Oreochromis niloticus: one gene and its partner. The main gene of each other region encodes a partner of the protein of the gene in region 2 in a complex. Links are inferred from orthologs where the notes say so. Each region holds a gene or a part of one and is shown on either strand. Other genes may lie near its edges. The genes, in order: zmpste24 and lamin-A.

Evidence for each region.
Region 1: the proteins of lamin-A (region 2) and zmpste24 are in contact, whole or in part, in a crystal structure (PDB 2YPT), measured with the Homo sapiens proteins. The link is inferred for Oreochromis niloticus from reciprocal best matches to the Homo sapiens genes LMNA and ZMPSTE24. Residues at the interface, in NP_001393912.1 of Homo sapiens: Cys661, Ser662, Ile663, Met664; in NP_005848.2 of Homo sapiens: Ser264, Asn265, Ala266, Tyr267, Phe268, Val332, His335, His339, Glu415, Leu438, Asn439, Asn442, His459, Arg465.

The regions. Positions count from the first base shown.
Region 1 is NC_031983.2:13,757,383-13,761,309, reverse strand, and holds the start of zmpste24 (CAAX prenyl protease 1 homolog), read right to left. Parts: upstream 2,768-3,927; 5' UTR 2,491-2,767; coding exon 2,383-2,490; intron 1,261-2,382; coding exon 1,114-1,260; intron 811-1,113; coding exon 607-810; intron 308-606; coding exon 155-307; intron 1-154. UniProt on the Homo sapiens protein: Transmembrane metalloprotease whose catalytic activity is critical for processing lamin A/LMNA on the inner nuclear membrane and clearing clogged translocons on the endoplasmic reticulum.
Region 2 is NC_031976.2:36,004,449-36,008,375, forward strand, and holds the start of lamin-A, read left to right. Parts: upstream 1-1,180; 5' UTR 1,181-1,359; intron 1,360-3,927.

The DNA of each region.
Region 1 (3,927 bases), on a different chromosome or scaffold from region 2:
AGAAGACAGAGATGACAGGATGTATTACAGGTGTAGTATCAACTATGTACTTCTTTTGAGTTTCTCACTAGTTATCTGACAAGGAACTTATTCCCTTATTACACAGTGATGCATTTTCAACGTTTTCACAGAGCGAGGTGAACGCGCCACTAACCAGAGAAACGACCAGGGTAAAGAGCCAAGCATAAATGAAGAAGTAGTCTCCGCCAATCTTTATGATGTACAGGAGCAGGGAGGTCACAGGAAGCAGGATACACTGAGTGACAGCAAACTTCTTCACGGCATCTTTGAGGAAGAACCCCAACGTCTGAGAGGAAGAACAAACATTAAAAGAGGAAAGTGGAAACAGGACATTAATATAGTGTGTTAGACTTCTGATGTCTGTTTACTTCTTCACAGATGCTCCGGTCTCTGAATTCATTTTGGGTTTAAACAGACAAGATTTCACAGTGGAAAACTTCTTATTACATTTAAATCATTTGTGTTTTTGACATTAAACAACATAAAGACACATCCTCAGTATGACCCGTCACTGTGGTAACTTCAATTCAATCAAACTCAAGTTAGTCTTGGCTACAAACAGTGAGTGCATTCCAGCCAGTGTACCTGCTGATTAAAGCCGTGCTTCTCCTCAATGACGAAAGTGTTGTACAAACTCCAGGGGAGTCCAGTTATAGCACTGAACAGGGTAGCAAGCGTCAGAAACACGAGGGACTGGGTGATCTCGTACTCTGGACCAAATCCAAAGCGAGCAGTCACAGAACCGGCGACAGCCCACAGAAATGGTATTCCACCCAGTAGCAGAATCAGCTGAAACAGTTTTGAGCACAATATTTTAAATGTGTGGCATACAGAATGAGTTAGACTACGCTAATCGTAAATATCAAACAAACAAAATGAACAAAAAGGAAAAAAAGCACACTCTTTTCACTAATATTGTATTAATACTTCATCAAGTCCATTTAAAGTCCTGCAGGTCAAGAAGACACTTTCTGACTTTCACTTTTCTCAACAAGTCCACAGCTACTACACTTGTGATAAAAGAACATTTTAATATGAGGAAGACTATCAACTCAAAAACAACTGTGTCTTTTAGTTAAATGATCATCTTACCGTCCCCTCAGTCTCAGAATAGAGTCCAGACCAAAAGCTGAAGTTGCTTTTATCCAGCTGATAAAGACGTGACTTCTCAAATGTTTCAGAATCCATGATCTTGCCCAGCTCCTGCGGTACATGGGTTGTTGTTCTATATATCCTCCTCTGCAGTGTAGGAAGACATGTGCATAAAGTTACATTATCACTGAAACTCATCAAGGTACTGATGAAGTAGGGATCCAATGCTGTCAGTGTAACTGACCAAGTTACATATTTCAGATATGTTATTCATCAAGTGTTAAACTCAAAACTTGTCAAGTATCACATGAGAAAATCATCATAATATAATCATTACTAATCCAATTTGATGTTTTCCTTCAAATCTGTGTTTCAAAGAGCATCTTTTTAACCTGTTGAGTCTATACTATACAATCGTGTCAACGATATTGCAACAATTCGACCTTTGAGCTGGTAGGTGAGGCCAATAATGTGTGTTTTTTTTATACTAGGGATACAAAAAAACTGCTTTGAAGTCTTTTAGCTCTAAATCACTACATTTGAACTAAAGAAATTTCACAGAACGAGTAAACATTGCCTACTGCCATCAATCTAATGATTTACAGGAAGGCCAAGGCCAATTGTGTATGATAATCGTGTGAATCCCTGTCCATATCCTCATAAAAGTGGCTCTCTGCAGTCTTTCAATGTGTGTAGTAGCATATCAAGACTACATGCTAATATTCTGGGTTAAAGACGTTCTCTGTATTATTTGCTACATCAGTTCCTGTTCCTAGAGGAACTACACCCATCCCAACACTGTCGTGAGATACTTTTCAGTGTAGCTTAACTGAAGTGGATACAAAAAAAAAAATGTTAATAGGATTCAAACAGCTTCATATTTCACATCCACAGACACGTGTCTGGGCGTGAAATAGACCAGTGAACATTTCCAGCAAGCTGATAATAGACCCGACTCATAGCTTTGTGGGTTCGTATTAAGAAATCTTACGCTGTTGTGTTTTGAAACTAAATACCTAAAATACTGAATAGCAAAAAATCTGGTGTCCACCATTACACGAACCCTGCCAAACTGACCCCTTGGTCGCATCACATATTCAACTATCAGAATATCCTATATTAAACTCAGACTTTATGAAAGACACAGCTCATAGTGAGTCCACAGGAGATTAAAATCAAATGTTTTAACCGCTGTCAAGGGTTCGTTGATTTACGCTCTGCTTTTATTATAAAGCAGAGGGATTTAATCTTGATAAACAATTGACTCACCTGTCTGTAAGAAAGATATGCCTCCCAAAGGTATACTGTCCATGAAAACCCTAGGACAGCGTAAAATATCTGCTTTTCCACCGGCAGGTCAACTATAGTTTCAACCATCTTTGCTGTTTTACTAGAGCAGTTAGCTAAGCAGGCTAGCAGCTAATTAGCTTCCGCTCTACACACACTTACAGACAAATAGACAGCACTTTAAACGTGAATTATGGGAAATATGCCCCTCCGTCAAATAGACAGATACAGACTAAAGTTTAGATCTTTGCATCCAGTTTTCATTCCTAAGAAAAGTCTAGGCTTTTACAACTAACATCATTCCATTCATATCAACTACCGAGCCCGTTGGTTATGCGTATCAACGAATTCGGCACCCAAAGGAACGTCTTCTATAACTTGGTTCCGCAGTGGATTTTCTTAATTTGACTGACTCACTAAAGAGTTAAAATTTTTGTATCTCAATAAAACACCTTTATTTGAACCCCCATTAATAAATATTCCACACAAATATTTGTGTACAATGCAGCTCAGAATGTAAATGTATATTCAAGTTAGTTAAACTCCTAATAAAGCATAATTTAAGGTTTTAGAGTATTCCTTTTTTTTTAATGCACGAGAACTACACGTTTATTGCTGGCGGTAGCAGCCTCATATATGCAATGAGCACGATAGCTAAACAGACGTGGCAGCGCAGGAAATGTTGACTTTTGCTACTTAATTCCTCTTCTCAGTTCAATGTGATTATTTACATGCAATCACCAACCATAAAATAACGGTAGTTACTTCAACACAACAGGAAACGTGGCGGGTCCTGTACCACACCCATTTTATACAATACAAAAAAGTACGCACACATTTAAAGTGTGTATATTAATGTGGCTTTTCATATCTATATAAATATGCATTTAAATTCCTAACAATTTACCTTTAATTAAAAACACTTTAGACGATGTAAAATCTTAAATACTAAAACCACACAGCTGCACTCTTCCCTTCCCATGCACGGAATCTGTTTATACATTGCAGTGTCGCATCTGAAACTTTTAACCACACGTGTGCTAGGGAAACTGGATTCTGACAGACCTTCCGGCAGGGCCTCCTGAATACTGCTAATGAGCTAATACTGTAACTCACTGAAAGGTAATCCCACAGAAGTGCTGCACAGCTAACTCTGGACTGTTTGGACTTCTTAGAGTCTGGGACTATAAACGATGTCCGGCTTTATCTGATCCATAATCCATAAAATAAAACTTTAAAAATAAAAAAAAAAGGTCATGTAAAGCACTAAGCATACTTTTTCAATTAACAGTTTTAATCTGAGGGAAGACAATGACACTTGCCTAGGAATAAGAAAATTATTAAATTAATAATATATGTGTCATTCATATATCTATAGATCTCTAGATCTCTCTCTCTCTCTCTCTCTATATATCTCTCTATCTATCTATCTATCTCTCTCTCTCTATAGATATAGATATATATATATATGTGTGTGTGTGTGTGTGTGTTTTTAAACATAATTTTAGTCTATAACAGGAATAATAC
Region 2 (3,927 bases):
CAGTGGGATCCTGTGTGGAAAAAGAACCAGGGTCATTTCAGAGCAGCACAAGTTTTGAAACAAAAACAAAAAAAAGATTTTGAGGTATTAAACATTTGATTTGCCATCTAATATTTTAATTACTGCAGCTTTAAACTTACAGCAACTTAATCTTGGCTTTTTGGGTCTGAACAGGCTTAATATGATGCCTGACAGTAAAAATGTGAACCACACAAAAAGTAACATGTTCAGATACACAGCAGCAAAGTGATTACTTTAAAGTGTACATTTATTTGAAAACCAGAGGGTTAACTTGTTTTTTCACTGGCACCGCAACCATCTGGCCTCTTGCAGTAAATTGAGTTTACATCACTCTTATATCACTGCATAACTACAGTACAAGCACTTTCTATTTTGCTCGTGCCACTGTTGGAGATGAATTCAGAGATTAAGACAGCACTTAAACACAAACATAAAGCACAACATCCTGCAGACTCACATCATCCTGTCTAACCTGAACTCAGTGGTGCTATCATCAGCTGTTCAGCAGGAGGAGAAGAAAAAACCCATCCGTGCTCTGTGAGCGATGTTTGCATGGGCTATTCCAGGAACAAGAAACATGACTCAAGTAAAAGTCATGTCCTCATTTAAATACTAGTATACACATCATTTCAAAATGTACTTAAAGTACTATAATAAAACCATGTATATCACTTTGTTGTTGCAGCTTGACTGTTTTAATTACATACAACGCTCGGTAGCTTTGTCTATAATAACCTAGCATCATGTATTAGCAGAATCATAGTTTAAAATCATTAAAATACGTGGCAGGGAGCACACAGTGCAAGGAATTTATCCAAAATATATTGGATTAGAGGAGGAAAGTATCATAACATACAGAAACAAAGTAGCCATGCTCTCAACACTACTCTACTTTAGTTACCTTAGTGGGGGGCACCATGAGGGGGCTGTGCCACCCCTCATACTGGCTCTCTGGACACACCCCTGTTCCATAGTCACCCCTTACACACATTTGGTTTATTTTCTCCAAACATCACCTGCTCGACTGAAACCCTCACCAGCTAAAAATACTGTCACTACCGAAGCGTTAATCATGGTCGCCAGGTGGCGCCTGCAGGCTGCATTGTAATTAGCGGAGATTGGCAGCCTAATCAAGTGTGTGGATCTGCAGGTGGCTGCTGACTCGGGTTGGCTCGACTCGGAGCTCCGCGGCTCTCCGATTTGTTCAAAGGAAACGCGTCCCAGCGGATGATATCGTGATTAACTGGGACTGCCGACATTTGGAAAGGTCACCGGTGAGCGCAGAGACGGGAGACGCGTTTTAAAGCGCTGCAGAAGAAAAGGCAGAAGAAGGCGAAGGTAGGACGGAGAGCGGAGTGTGTTTCAGCTGGAAGATGAAATGCATTTATTCTTCTTCTTATAGTTTCTAACAGGGCGCAGGCAGAGAGTTGAATCAGTTCATGAACTCTTTGACCCACACTGACAGTTTCCATTCAGTGTGTCAGCCAGTGGATGGCGTGGATGTGCTGTGCTTGTGAATGACTTCAGTGGAAGGCTGTGCACTGTGGGGTTCTATTTATGTCATATGTACTGAGTGGTAGCAGGGGGCGCCAGAGAGGCACAGAGTGAGAGCATCCTCATAATTCGTGACGAAAGCATGCATGTACACCGAGTGAGCGCTTTGTTAGAAACCACATTAGAATGAGCCAATCACGCGGCAGCAGAGCGGTGCGCGACACCCAGCAGGCGCTTCGCCCAATGATGACATCATACTCCAGAAAATAGGAATAAATATGAGGTTTGTGTCAGCTGTCCTGGTTTGAGTATTACTGAACCTGTTGATCACCCCGGATTTCCGGAAAATCTGCACTCATACTGATGCTCAGAAAACAGAAACCACACAGGTTTACCGGTAACCGAAGTCAATATTGATTGTTCAGTTTTGTTATTTGTCTCTCGACGTGAACCGGGGAAATCCCCCAAAATCCACGCTGTGAAATCAGTCAGAATCAGACTACTTTATTAATCACGGTGTGTGGGTGGAGGTGGAGGGATAAATTAAAATGTCAATATGATATAAAATATGAAGCTAGAAAAATGTAAACAATATATATAAAAATACGTTTTAAAAGGGCCACATTCCAATAAGGTCCAATTAGTTAAAATAAATACTCTAAAGTTTAATGATACTACGGACAATATACACAAGATGTGGCGAGTCTAAATAGTCCAGTTGTAGTAGAGGGTAGTTGTAACGTTTGATGGCTAGTGGCAGGAATCAGTTCCTGTGCCGTTCTCTGCATCAGGATGAACACAGAGGTACTTGAAAGCCTCCGCTGTCTGCGCATAGAAACGGGGCCAACAGACAAGGGCGTAGATTTGGTTTTGGCATTGGTGGGGACGGATGATTCAACCACCGAACCCTGCGCTGTTTCTTTTTCTTTTTTTCCTTTTTGTCTTTGCTTCTTCATTAAAAAAAAAAGAAAAAAAAGGGAGAAATATACTTGCTTACATATGCTATTCTACATGCTTTTAAACCATTTAAAATTACAATTCATAGTTTTATATGTGAATTATATAATGTTAAATTACTATTAAATAAATGACTGATTTTAGACTTTAGTTTACTTCAGCCATATTCCATATAAATCAGGTATCATACAAAAATAAAAAAAAGCTTCAAATAGAGTCATGACAATAAAAGAATATGACTTTAAGGACATTACTTCAGTTATAGTGCACCAACATCTCTTACACATTAGCACTAAGGGAACACTGAATGACCTGATGGTTTTTGTCCATAAAACTACTCGTCTAAGATTACCACAAAGTAAAAGATCTCTCAGCAAAATTATGCAACCTTTTAGGCACTATTGCCCCGATCAAGTCAGTGAGCTGGGACTTTTTATTCTAAACATGAACTACTGTTACAGCAACACACATGGACTACTGGTGCCCCACACAACAACTCAATGTCCACTATGTGAAGGAGTCTATACTACTGTTTATACTATACTGTCTATACTATACTGTCCTGGTGGACATGGCAACACTTTTTTCATGGTTACATACAGTTTTATACGGTGGCCCTGAGAGGCCAAACGGACTGCAACTTCAGAAAACACTTGCAAAAAGAAAAATGCTGCAAAAAGAAAAATGCTACAAAAAGAAAAACACTTGCAAAAAGAAAAATGCTGCAAAAAGAAAAACGCTGCAAAAAGAAAAACACTTGCAAAAAGAAAAACACTTGCAAAAAGAAAAACGCTGCAAAAAGAAAAACGCTGCAAAAAGAAAAATGCTGCAAAAAGAAAAATGCTGCAAAAAGAAAAACGCTGCAAAAAGAAAAACGCTGCAAAAGCACACAAAGCACAACGGAAATAGGAAAAAAGACAACGGAAATGTTTCTGGGGAGACAATACCCGGACGGACCAATTGCACGAACCAAAACATGCTAACAAGTGCACTGGGAGACACTTCAAAGAAGTGGAGCGGCCAAAGAGTAAACTTTCAAAAGTAAGTTCTGAATATTATGTCACTTATTTATGTGCAAATGTTTAATAATGAGGAACATTAAAACATTACTGTTGGCCACATGCCGGCAAAGTTATGTGACATTAGCGATGTTTGTACTTTCAGCATTTACTTTGTTTTAAAGCCTTTACTTTATACGCCGTTAGATAGTCGACCTTAATCTTACAGAGAATCTGATGATTTTGTGGATAATTAAAGTCAGTCATATATCCACAAACACAACAAGCTGAAAGTCAGTGATGCTGCTCGGTTTGCAGTCCTGAATATCACGGCACACGCAGGATTCACTGCACTGTTAATGTTAGCTATGTTATATTGCTGCCTCTGTTCGGTGGTGTCGAGCCAAACGGACTTTAACGTGTGTTTGAACGAGCTGACGGTTCACTCGTTAAGCTG